3 linked regions of the Stegostoma tigrinum genome follow. The protein of the gene in region 1 interacts with the protein of each later gene in a pairwise test. Links are inferred from orthologs where the notes say so. Each region holds a gene or a part of one and is shown in the gene's direction. Other genes may lie near its edges.

Region 1 (3,751 bases):
GCGCTGGCCGGCCGGCAGGAAAGTGTAGAGGTCGCGGGCGGGTGTCGGCGCCGTGGCCTGGCCGGGCCTCGGGCTGGGCTGCGGGGCGGTGCCGATGCGGAGCAGCTGCAGGCAGGGCTGCACCTCCGACAGCATCCTCGCTGGGTCGGTGTCGGGGGTATGCTAGGTCATCAAAACCTGCACTCCTGGGGGCTCGGCTCCGATTGTTAGGTCATCAAAACCTGCACTCCTGGGGGCTCGGCTCCGATTGTTAGGTCATCAAAACCTGCACTTCTGGGGGCTCGGCTCCGATTGTTAGGTCATCAAAACCTGCACTCCTGGGGGCTCGGATCCGATTGTTAGGTCATCAAAACCTGCACTCCTGGGGGCTCGGCTCCGATTGTTAGGTCATCAAAACCCGCACTCCTGGGGGCTCGGCTCCGATTGTTAGGTCATCAAAACCCGCACTCCTGGGGGCTCGGCTCCGATTGTTAGGTCATCAAAACCCGCACTCCTGGGGGCTAGGCTCCGATTGTTAGGTCACCAAATCCTGGAATCATGGCGGTTCGGCTCCGAATGTTTGGTCGCCAAGCTCCCGGGGGGTAGGATCCAGTTGCTAACTCATCAAATCCTGGGCTCTCGGGGGTAGGATCCAGTTGTTAGGTCATCGGAACTGAGGCCTGGCTTTCCACCTCGGACCGTTGCGGTGGACAGTTGGCGCCACTGTAGTTGTTGTTGTTGTCTCTCCGGTGTTCCTCAGTGCCACCGACCGGTTCGACGGCAGACCAGCTGTCTGTTGTCTATCCTCCCCGCCTCTCTCTCTCTTTCTAGGTCTATCCTTCTGTTTACAGGAAGCGCCTTTGAAAATTGGCGCGCTGGAACGGCGGCCCCAAGTATCGCGAGATGATCCCTGTCCTCCGCGGGGGTACCAGTTACTGTGCCTGCGTACTAGGAGGTGATGCCAATTGGCTGGCCGAGCTGCCATCTTTGATGCTGGCGCTCCGCCCTCCCTCCCTCCAGGGTGCCAGGCAGAGTTGTCAGATTGTGGTCTACGAGGAATAAAGGGCCGGTCAGGAAGATAATTACTGTCATGTATGTCATTGTGAGGGATATTCCCGTGATTTTACTGTTGGTAATCTTACTGTGGGTGATGTTCTAACTCGAAATGTAAACTGCTTTCTCTATCTTTTTGAACAGGCGCCACTTGAACTGCTCCCCTTTTTTTGAGGGTTTGCAGAAATTTGCTTTAGGAATCTCTTTTGTGACGTTGGGTTGAAGAGATGACCCAGAAGTTGCAGAAGGACACAAACTTGGGACAGCAGTCACTCTGGGTCTGCAAGAATATAAGTAGGGACAGACGTAAGCATTTCGGTCAACTCTGCCATTCAATGAGATCATTGCTGATCTAATAATCGCCATCCATTCCCTGTCTTGTTCCTATAACCCTTAATTCCTTCAATGTTTATCAATCTATCTCAGCCTGAAATGTAATTAGTAAGGCTTCCAGACCTCTGCGGTAAAAAATTCCACAGACTTACTCCCCTTGGAGAGAAGAAATTTCCACCTTATCGCTCTCCTGAGGGGTGACCCCTTACTCTGCATGTATGCCCTCTAACCCTGGACTCTAACAAGGGGAAACAATCTTTCCAAATCAAGCCCCCGAAGAATCTTATCTGTTTCAATAAGATCCCCTCTTATTCTTCTATGATCCAATGAATACAGACCCTAGCAAGTTTTGAGAAGATTTGTAGCTCAGGTTGAGGTTCTAGATGTGAGTTTGCTCGCTGAGCTGGAAGGTTCGTTTTCAGACGTTTCGTCACCATTCTAGGTAACATCATCAGTGAGCCTTAGGAAACAGATAAATAGAAAGCGGGACATAACACCAGCGCTTCACCGGACGCTCACTGATGATGTTACCTAGAATGGTGACGAAACGTCTGAAAACTAACCTTCCAGCTCAGTGAGCAAACTCACATCCAGAATACAGACCCTACCTACTCAACCTCTCCTCAAAGGACAGTTCCTCCATACCTGGGATCAGCCGAGTAAAACTTCATAGGGCTGACTCCAATATATTTTTCCTTAGGTAAGGGATAAGTGAACTGGTTTCAGTTAAGGAGGAAATGTGCTAATTGGAAAAGTTCAAACCAGTGCTCGTATCTAGATGCAACCCAAAACATTTACCGAACACAAATTTGATGGAAACATTCATTCAGGCACCTATGAAGTCAACATGCTCGAGGCATCCGCACTGTTTGGTGTCTGTTTGTGTGTGTGTGTGTGTGTGTGTGTGTGTGTGTGTCTGTGTATGTGTCTGAATCCAAAGACTGAGCAAACAAAGGATCAGACACTGAACTCTGCTGCTTACCAACCAATGTGCCCCAAACCCCCACCAGTCCTCCAGCCTATTCCAACAACCATTTTGAAACAGAGACAAATCCTCCCCCTCTCTGCTGAGTATCTTTGTAATATGAACTGTATTCCTGTATGACTCGGTTAATTCCCGTTGCTACTTGTTAACAGTGTTTTCGTCATCCATACAGTGTGGAGCTGGAGGAACACAGGAGGAGAGTCGGCACCAGAGAAGCAGGAAAGTCGACATTTCAGATCTGGACCCTTCATCAGGACTGGAGAGGGGGAAGGGAGCTCAGAAATAAATAGGAGGGGTGGGGCTTCTGAAGGTAGGTGGGACAATGTTTGGTGGGTGCAGGTTTGGGATGGTGGGGATTGGGCAGTTGGACAGGTGGGGCGGATAGATGGGAAAGAAGATGGACAGGTGGTGCCAGGTCAAGAAAGTGGGGATGAGTGGGAGGGTTAGACATGTGATGAGGCTGTGGGTGGAAGGCTGGATGTTTAGGCCATCAGGCTGTTGGCTCCCAAGGCGGAATATGAGGTGTTGCTCTTCCAGTTTGCGTGTGGCGTCATTGTGGCACTAGAGGAGGCCCAGGATGGACATGTCACCCAAGGGCGGGGGGGGGGGGGGTGGTTAAAGTGGTTCGACTGGAAGGTGCTGTTGATATTAGCGTGCAGAGTGCAGATGCTCCTCGAATCAGTCTCCAAGTGTACATTTGGTTTAATCTATGTGGAAGAGACCACATCAAGAACAATGGATACAGTAGACCAGGTGGAATGATATGCAGGTGAATCCCTGTCATACATGGAAAGTTTGTCTTGGGCCTTGGATGGAGGTGAAGGGTAGGTGCTGTGGCAGCACCGAGGTACAAAATTTCAGTTTGAATTCTGATGGAAGGTGATTAATCTGAACTGTGTTTCTTCACAGAAGCAAAGATAATAAAATGTGAGGCTGGATGAACACAGCAGGCCAAGCAGCATCTCAGGAGCACAAAAGCTGACGTTTCGGGCCTAGACCCTTCATCGGAGAGGGAACTGGAATAAATAGGGAGAGAGGGAGAGGCGGACCGAAGATGGAGAGTAAAGAAGATAGGTGGAGAGAGTGTAGGTGGGGAGGTAGGGAGGGGATAGGTCAGTCAGGGAAGATGGACAGGTCAAGGAGGTGGGATGAGGTTAGTAGGTAGATGGGGGTGCGGCTTGGGGTGGGAGGAAGGGATGGGTGAGAGGAAGAACCGGTTAGGGAGGCAGAGACAGGTTGGACTGGTTTTGGGATGCAGTGGGTGGAGGGGAAGAGCTGGGCTGGTTGTGTGGTGCAGTGGGGGGAGGGGACGAACTGGGCTGGATTAGGGATGCAGTAGGGGAAGGGGAGATTTTGAAACTGGTGAAGTCCACATTGATACCATTGGGCTGCAGGGTTCCC
Region 2 (3,751 bases), on another chromosome or scaffold:
TGTCTCCTTGCTCTTAATTCATTAACTGTTTTAAAGAATTTCTCCCTTCCTACTAGAACATTTCTCAGCTTTCCTGAATTCCTACTTCTCTCTTCAATTTCCTTTCACTTCCGGTTCTCTCTTTCCTCTAACTCACCATCTCATAATACCACTATTATCATTTCACACTCCTGCTCTTCTCCTATCTGCTTCCTGCTTTGCCACAAGCTCCATGTCTAATCATGTATTGTGCAGATCTATTATTCAAGATGAAAGCAAGTTCAACCACATGAAGCAATTGTTCAAAAGTGGAAAAAGTTCTAGACTCTGCTGTGTGCTCAAGTTATTCCTTGCTAAACCGAAACAAAATGTCCCAGAGGGAAAACCTGGTTTAAAAAAAAACTTGAAAGTGAAAATACCGGTTTGTACTGGACTATAATTCTGAGGAACAAGGCAAGTCAGATCACTATGTGTCATTTTCAAGTTTTATTAGATTTCCCCTCTGGGATATTAGTTCAGGAGATTCTGATAAAGATTACGACCTTAAATTTTTCCTCTCTTTGTTCATAGATGCTGCCAGGTCTTTCCAGCATAGCCTACTCGTTCTGGGCGCTAAAAATGTGATTATTTCAAATTTGCTGGAGCTGGATGAAAATGTTAGCAAAAGACCCAGGAAGTAAGGTCCAAAGTGGAAAATTGACAGTTGGTGGGGAATCAGGCACAGGCTATTTCAATTCAAAGGCGGGGAATCAGGGAGACGACTACAACACCCATGATGCAGCGGGACGTCGGCGAAATCTTGTGAGGTCACGGCAGATTTGTCGGAGTGGGCAGGATCGCCGTGGTAACGAAGCTGCTGAGGATTGAGGCCGAAGAAATCTTGAGATGTCGGAGACAGACCCGAAGACGGTGCAGGACTTGACTGCAGTGGTGAGTGAGTGATGGAGGGAGGTGAACGGGCAGCTTTCTCAACCAGTGAGCTGCGCGACTGGAGGCTCGGGCTGTGCCGGTCGGACTAGGCCTCAGCCTCCTGACTGTTTCCTTGGCTGCAGCTTTACCTAGACGCACAGGGTGTCCCCTGCCCGAATGGGGCGGCTTCACCTTGTCCTCTGCCAGAAACTGTTGTCCCAGACCGGTAGAATATTTATGAGTAACCGAAGTAAACACAGCTGATCAGCACTTTCAAGGCATTTGAGATTGGATGACTGATGGTGATCTTACCAGTGATCTCCACATCAAATGAAAGAAGAAAAAATGTGCCCAATGCATGTGTAACCAGAATTGATGTTGACTTTGAAAAACAGCCAGAATCCACAATGGCACAATTAAACGACCAAGTGTCTCTCCTAATCACCTTGGACCCAGGTATTGTGTGAAGGTGACATCCCTAATTTGGAAACCTTGGTGTTCATCTGTATCTGGATGTGACACGTCAAAAGTCATCAGTTTGAACTGACGTGAACTGACGCTGAAGAGGCAGCAGTCTCTGTGTTTGGGTCTGTTTTTACAAGACATGGTACATAAACACATCACTATCAATATCTGTCAAAGACTAAATAAATGTACCTCTTCATACAAATATAAAGATCAGAGCACAACAATGGTATTCAGTCCATCTACCTGTGTTGTTGCAGTTCTTTTATATTCATCTGTTAGAAATACTTGGTAATTTCTTTTTAAAACTGACTTCAACAGCCATTTGTGGTGAACTATCTTTCTGTTACTCCACCTTACCTGGTTTTAATCCCTCTGTTCATCTCCCATTCATGTCTCCATCAAGCAAACCTTAAACACTGCTAATGTGTCTGCTACCACCACCACCACCTCTGCCAGTGTGTTCCAGGCACCACCGTGCCGTGTGAAAAATTTTCCCTGCAATTCTTCCCTAAACCTTGCCCTCACGTTGAACCTGTGCTGCCGTGTAGTTGACCTTTCCATGCTGGATAAAAGCCTCTGACTATTCCAACCTACCTATGCCTTTTGCAATTTTGTAAACCTCTATTAGGTCACCCCTCACCCTACATCTGTCCAGTGAAAACATTCCAAGTTTATCCAACTATCCTAATACCTAAAACTCTCTAGACCAGGCAACATCCTGGTAAATCTTCTCTGTGTCCTTTCTAAAGCGTCTACGTCTTTCTTAAAGTGTGGTGACCAGACCTGCACGCAATATTCCAAATGTGGCCTGACAAAGTTTTATACAGCTCTAACATAACTCGCTAACTTTTATATTTGACACACACAGGCGTGTTGTGTACCTTCTTGACCACCTTATTCACCTGTGTTGCCACTTTCAGGGATCTGTAGACCTTTATACCCAGATCCCCCTGTATGTCAATGATACTTTGGTACCTGCTATTTATTTTATAGTTTGTATCTGAATTTGATCATCCGAAATACTTCACCTTGCATTTGTCTGGGTTAGACTCCATCTGCAGTTTCTCTGTTGAAATTTGCAAACTGTCTGTCTTTCCATGTCCTTTGACATACCTCTTCACTATCCACAACTCTGCCAATTTTGGTGTTGTCTGCACACTTACTAATAAGATCACCTAATCGCTAAAGGAATAGAGGATAAAAGTAGGATGGCATTGTTGCAATTCTACGAGGTATTAGTGATACCGCACCTACAGTATTGTGCACAATTTGGGTCCCTTTGAGGAGGGATGTAATTGCATTGGAGGCAGATCAGAGGAGGTTCACTAGATTGATTCCAGAGATGACGGGTTTGTCTTATGAAGACAGATTGAGTGAGTCGTTTGGATCTATACCTATCTGGTTCACTAATGTCCTTCAGGGGAGGAAATGTGCCAGCCCTCCCCTGGCCTGGCCTACATGTGACTCCAGACCCATAGCAATGTGGTTGACTGTCAGTTGCCCTCTGGAGTCACATGTAGGCCAGGCCAGGGGAGGGCTGGCAGATTTCCTGGCCATGACAGTATCAGTAAGAGTGACCCTGCACAGTCCTTGTGGAGACGAAGCCCCACCTTCACGTTGCGAATAACCTCCATCGTGTTGTGTGGCACTGTCACTGTGCTAAATGGCGCAAACTTTGCACAGATCTAGCAACTAGACTGGGCATCTACGAGGCACAGTGGGCCATCAACAGCAGCAGAATTATACTCCACAATCTGTAACCTCATCGCCCGGCATATCCCCCACTCAACCATTGCAATAAAGCTAGTGGATTAACCCTGGTTCAATGGAGACTGTAGGAGGGCATGCCAGGTGCAGCACCAGGTATACCTGTAAATGAGGTACCAACCTGGTGAAGCCACCAAACAGGATTACTCTCATGCCAAACAGCGAAAGCAGCAAGTAATTGACAGAGCTAATCAATCCTATAACCAATGGATCAGATCTAAGCTCTGCAGTCCTGCCACATCCAGTTGTGAATGGTGGTGGACAGGTAAACAATTCACTGGAGGAGGAGGCTCCACAAATATCCCCATCCTCAATGATAGAAAATCCAGCACATCAGTGCAAAAGATAAGGCTGAAGCATTCGCAGCAACTTTCAGAGAGAGGTGCCAAGTGGATGAACCATCTCAGCCTGTTCCAGTGGTCCCCAGCATCACAGATGCCAGTCTTCAGCCAATTTGATTCACCGTACGTGATATCAAGAAACTGTTCGAGACACTGGACACTGCAAAGGCTATGGGCCCTGACAACATTCCGGCAAAAGTACTGAAGATTTGTGCTCCGGAACTTGCCACTCCCCTAGCCAAGCTGTTCCAGTACAGCTACAACACTGGTATCTACCTGACAATGTG
Region 3 (3,751 bases), on another chromosome or scaffold:
AGAGATTTTGTTTTTAATTTTGAATATGAGTTCCTGGGACACTAAAATGAAAGCAAAATCCTTAAGTAGTCACACCAGAATCGAGACGTTATCGCCTGTTTTTCTCTGCACAGCTTGACCTGCTGAGCCCCTCAAGCAGTTTTAACTTTTATCCCTGGGACCTTGTGTCCCCGGATTACTCCACCAACAGCTCTGGCACTACATTATTGCCTCTCTGTTAATAATCTTGTGAATTAATTACCAACTAAATTGCAGATTTTATTAGTCACCAGCAACTGTACAAGGTGTAAATTGATTAGTGTTGGGTACGTTGATTGTGTTTCGATATTGTCCCTTACCTGTTAGATTTCAGTGACTATTTGACATGTTCCCAGTCCTGCAGCAAATTAAAATTAACATTTCTCAAGATAAGGAGATTTCTCAGTGAGACTGGGGACAAAATAAATCAGTCTTACAGAAACAATACAGCATATGCACTTTAGGTCAGACATGCATTCTATTTGAAGAACCACAGTAGATTTATTGTCTGTAGCAGCACATTCTTAGAAAAATGTTTTCCATTAAAAAGGAAATTATTAGCTTATAACACCTATACAAAGACTCAAAACAACTGATGTTGTAACTATATTACAACTGCGCTTATTTAATTTATAGAAGGGAACTTTATTTGGAGGCTCGAATGTACGGTTGCTACTCACACTGACATTTGGCCTTGGGTCGGCACAGTTGGAAAGAGGTTCGCAGATTCGGCGGAACTGTTTATTACTTTATAAAATTCTGCCAGGCCCAAGGTGGGAGTGTACTGGGGGAAGATCAAGTCCACCCGAGGCGGCGGGTATTCCCCGGGTGTCGGGAAATTTTCATCCGGCAGCCGTGGCCGGGTTTTGTTTGTGTGGAATGTGCGAGCTCGGCGCCCCCGGACAATAGGAACCCGCTCGCGCTCGGTCCGCGCGCTTCCCGCCCCCCGGCCCCGGGCTTGCGGATCCAGACCCTTCCCCCACCCCCCCCCCCCGGGTACCGGGCTCCGGTCACCGAACTACCCCACCCGACACAGGCCAGCTCCCGGCATCGAGCTCCCTCCCTCCTCGGCCAGGGACACCGACCGCCTCCCCGGGACCGCGGCTCCAGCGGGACACAGGACTCCCCGCCCTCTCCGTGAGTACAGCTTTGATCCCGGGGGGGGGGGATGAACGGGACATCATGAGGGATGAGCTGGGCTGGGGAGGCAGTGAAGGGAGAAGACGGGGGGGAGGGGGATCTCTCCGAGGGTTCACTTTGGGTGGGAAGTGTGGGTGCTGCAGGATGTTGTCATGGACAATATTCCGGAGCTGGGAGGGTGACTGACTCCCAATGAATTAAATCGGGGATAAAGGCTGTCTTGGTAACATTGAGGGGGATGGGTGGAGAGTGACCCAGTTGAAATATTTGGGACTATAAAATGTACGTAGACACACACACAAGATGTTTCTTCCGTAGGACAGTAGGACCAGGCTGTTATCATTCTAATAGTAGTTTAGGACAAAAACAGAAATTGTTGGAGAAGCTGAGCTGGTCAGGCAGAACCTGTTAGCAGAAAAAGTTAACGTTTCCAGTCCGATGATTCTTAATCATAACCTCAGTCGTTTGGGCTTGGCCAGCTCAGTTGAATGGACAGCTGGTTTGTGATGCAGAGTGACATGGACTCTCCTTTTCAACCTCACCCCTAACTTGAGGTGTGATAACCTTTAAGTTAAAGCACTTCTAATCATCTCTGTAATGAAAGAGTAGCCCCATGGTCCTTTGGGGCTATGATTGGTTGGGGACTCATTTCCACTTTACATCATTTTTTTTTCTCCACCATCGGCAACCTCTTTGTCTTTTGTTAGTCAAAAGTATAACAAGTGTTTAAAAAAATTCCAACATCTTTTTAACTCAAAAAATGTCCTAAACTCTCTTTTTTGTCTCCACAGATGCCACAACTGCTGAGTTTCTCCATATTTCTTTGCTATGTTGGCAGTATAAGACAGTCACTAATAAATCCATTTGAGAATTCAGGAAAAATGTCTGCCTGGGGAGTGGTGAGAATTCAGGACTTTGAAAAGCAACACCAACCTGTCATGAGCAATTAGTTCATCTAGGACCGACTATGGAATGAAAGCCTTTTACTTGTATAGTTCCTTTTAAAGTAAAAGGAATATCTCAGATTGTTTTATAGCCAGAGACAGTAGGAACTGCAGATGCTGGAGAATCTGAAACAACAAGGTGTAGAGCTGGATGAACACAGGTCTAGAGGAAGGGTTTAGGCCTGAAACGTCAGCTTTCCTGCTCCTCTGATGCTGCTTGGCCTGCTGTGTTCATCCAGCTCCACACCTTGTTTTATAACCAATCAGTTTATTATATATAGTATATATTTTTGCTATGCAATCACTGCTGTTATGTCAGTAGTATGGTGGCCAATTTGTACATGGCAAATTCCACAATCAGCAGTGTGATAATAGCCAGATTATCAGTTTTTGTTGTGTTGGCCAAATTGGGAATAACAGGGCAAAATTGGGATTATAGAATCAATAGATGTGAAGCTAGAAAAAGACAACACGCTGAGGAGCAGGAAAAAAAGTTTTGGGTCCAAATTGTATAACCTAGTGTCTCCTGACTTCTGATGTTGTCTGCTATAGGGGCGGCACGGTGGCTCAGTGGTTAACACTGCAGCCCCACAGCACCAGGGACCCAGGTTCGATTCCAACCTTGGGCGACTGTCTGTGTGGAGTTTGCACATTCTCCTCATGTCTACTTGGGTTTCTTCTGGGTGCTCCGGTTTCTTCCCGCAGTCCAAAGATGCGCAGGCTAGGTGGCTTGGCCGTGCTAAATTGCCCGTAGTGTTCAGGGGTGTGTGCATTTATAAGGAGGTGGATCTGGGTGGGATGCTTCAAAAGGGCGATGTGGACTTGTTGGGCCGAAGGGCCTGTTTCCACACTGTAGGGAATCTAGTCTAATCTACCTCAATCCAACACCAACACCTTCACATCCTCAGAATAGTGCCATTCACTTGGGAGAATAGATGAAGTCTTTGTTTAATGTTTCATTGGAGGGTACCTTTGCTGTTATAGTACCCCTCAATTAACCTTGCAGAAATCTCAGGAGTGGGATTTGAACACAGAATCTTCTTGCCCAAAGGGGAAGGTATTACCTGTTGAGCCATGGCTAATGTGTGGTGTCCATTGGTATTATTGTGGCTTTCTCAGCTTGAGGCAGAGTGTAGTGCAGGCAGAGCAATTTCCCAAATGTCTTTGCTGTTAAGGCAGAAGATTTTAAATGAAAATGCAGGCATTCTCCTTAATTTCTTGCTGAAGAAACATTAAATCTGATGAAAACATGGCTATTTTCTGTCAAATGTTTGTGTTCTTCCCTTTGTTCTGTTCTCATGGCACTGTAACTTGTCAAAGTTGAGGTACTTTTCTCTCCCCGAACATTTTTGCACTCTATCTATGTCTCTGTCCGTATCTCTATCTCTCTCTCATATCTCCTTGCTTCAGTGGCTAACTGCAAGTCTTGGCCTAGATCCTTGGATCCCTGAATTGGGATATGACTCATGACTTTGGAGTACGCGCTGAGTGTTGCTGAACAAAAAGACATGATCTTGAACTTTTCCATCTTAGACTTGGTCAGCACAGATGTAAGAATATTCCCAGATTTCAAAGGGAGCAATGTTTATACCACATGAGAAACAGAGTGCTGATTGGTTCACAGGTTAACTGACTGTTCAAGGCAATGC

Evidence for each region.
Region 2: the proteins of cchcr1 (region 1) and hsbp1b interact in binary tests that used the Homo sapiens proteins (3 or more experiments, as listed by UniProt). The link is inferred for Stegostoma tigrinum from reciprocal best matches to the Homo sapiens genes CCHCR1 and HSBP1.
Region 3: the proteins of cchcr1 (region 1) and smarce1 interact in binary tests that used the Homo sapiens proteins (3 or more experiments, as listed by UniProt). The link is inferred for Stegostoma tigrinum from reciprocal best matches to the Homo sapiens genes CCHCR1 and SMARCE1.

The regions. Positions count from the first base shown.
Region 1 is NC_081387.1:26,383,808-26,387,558, reverse strand, and holds the start of cchcr1 (coiled-coil alpha-helical rod protein 1), read left to right. Parts: upstream 1-965; 5' UTR 966-1,071; intron 1,072-1,176; 5' UTR 1,177-1,338; intron 1,339-2,522; 5' UTR 2,523-2,660; intron 2,661-3,751. Other genes in the region: tcf19l (transcription factor 19), read right to left, coding at 1-135. UniProt on the Homo sapiens protein: May be a regulator of keratinocyte proliferation or differentiation.
Region 2 is NC_081369.1:48,301,191-48,304,941, reverse strand, and holds the start of hsbp1b (heat shock factor-binding protein 1b), read left to right. Parts: upstream 1-746; 5' UTR 747-864; coding exon 865-909; intron 910-3,751. UniProt on the Homo sapiens protein: Negative regulator of the heat shock response. Negatively affects HSF1 DNA-binding activity. May have a role in the suppression of the activation of the stress response during the aging process.
Region 3 is NC_081384.1:2,079,009-2,082,759, reverse strand, and holds the start of smarce1 (SWI/SNF-related matrix-associated actin-dependent regulator of chromatin subfamily E member 1), read left to right. Parts: upstream 1-928; 5' UTR 929-1,155; intron 1,156-3,751. UniProt on the Homo sapiens protein: Involved in transcriptional activation and repression of select genes by chromatin remodeling (alteration of DNA-nucleosome topology).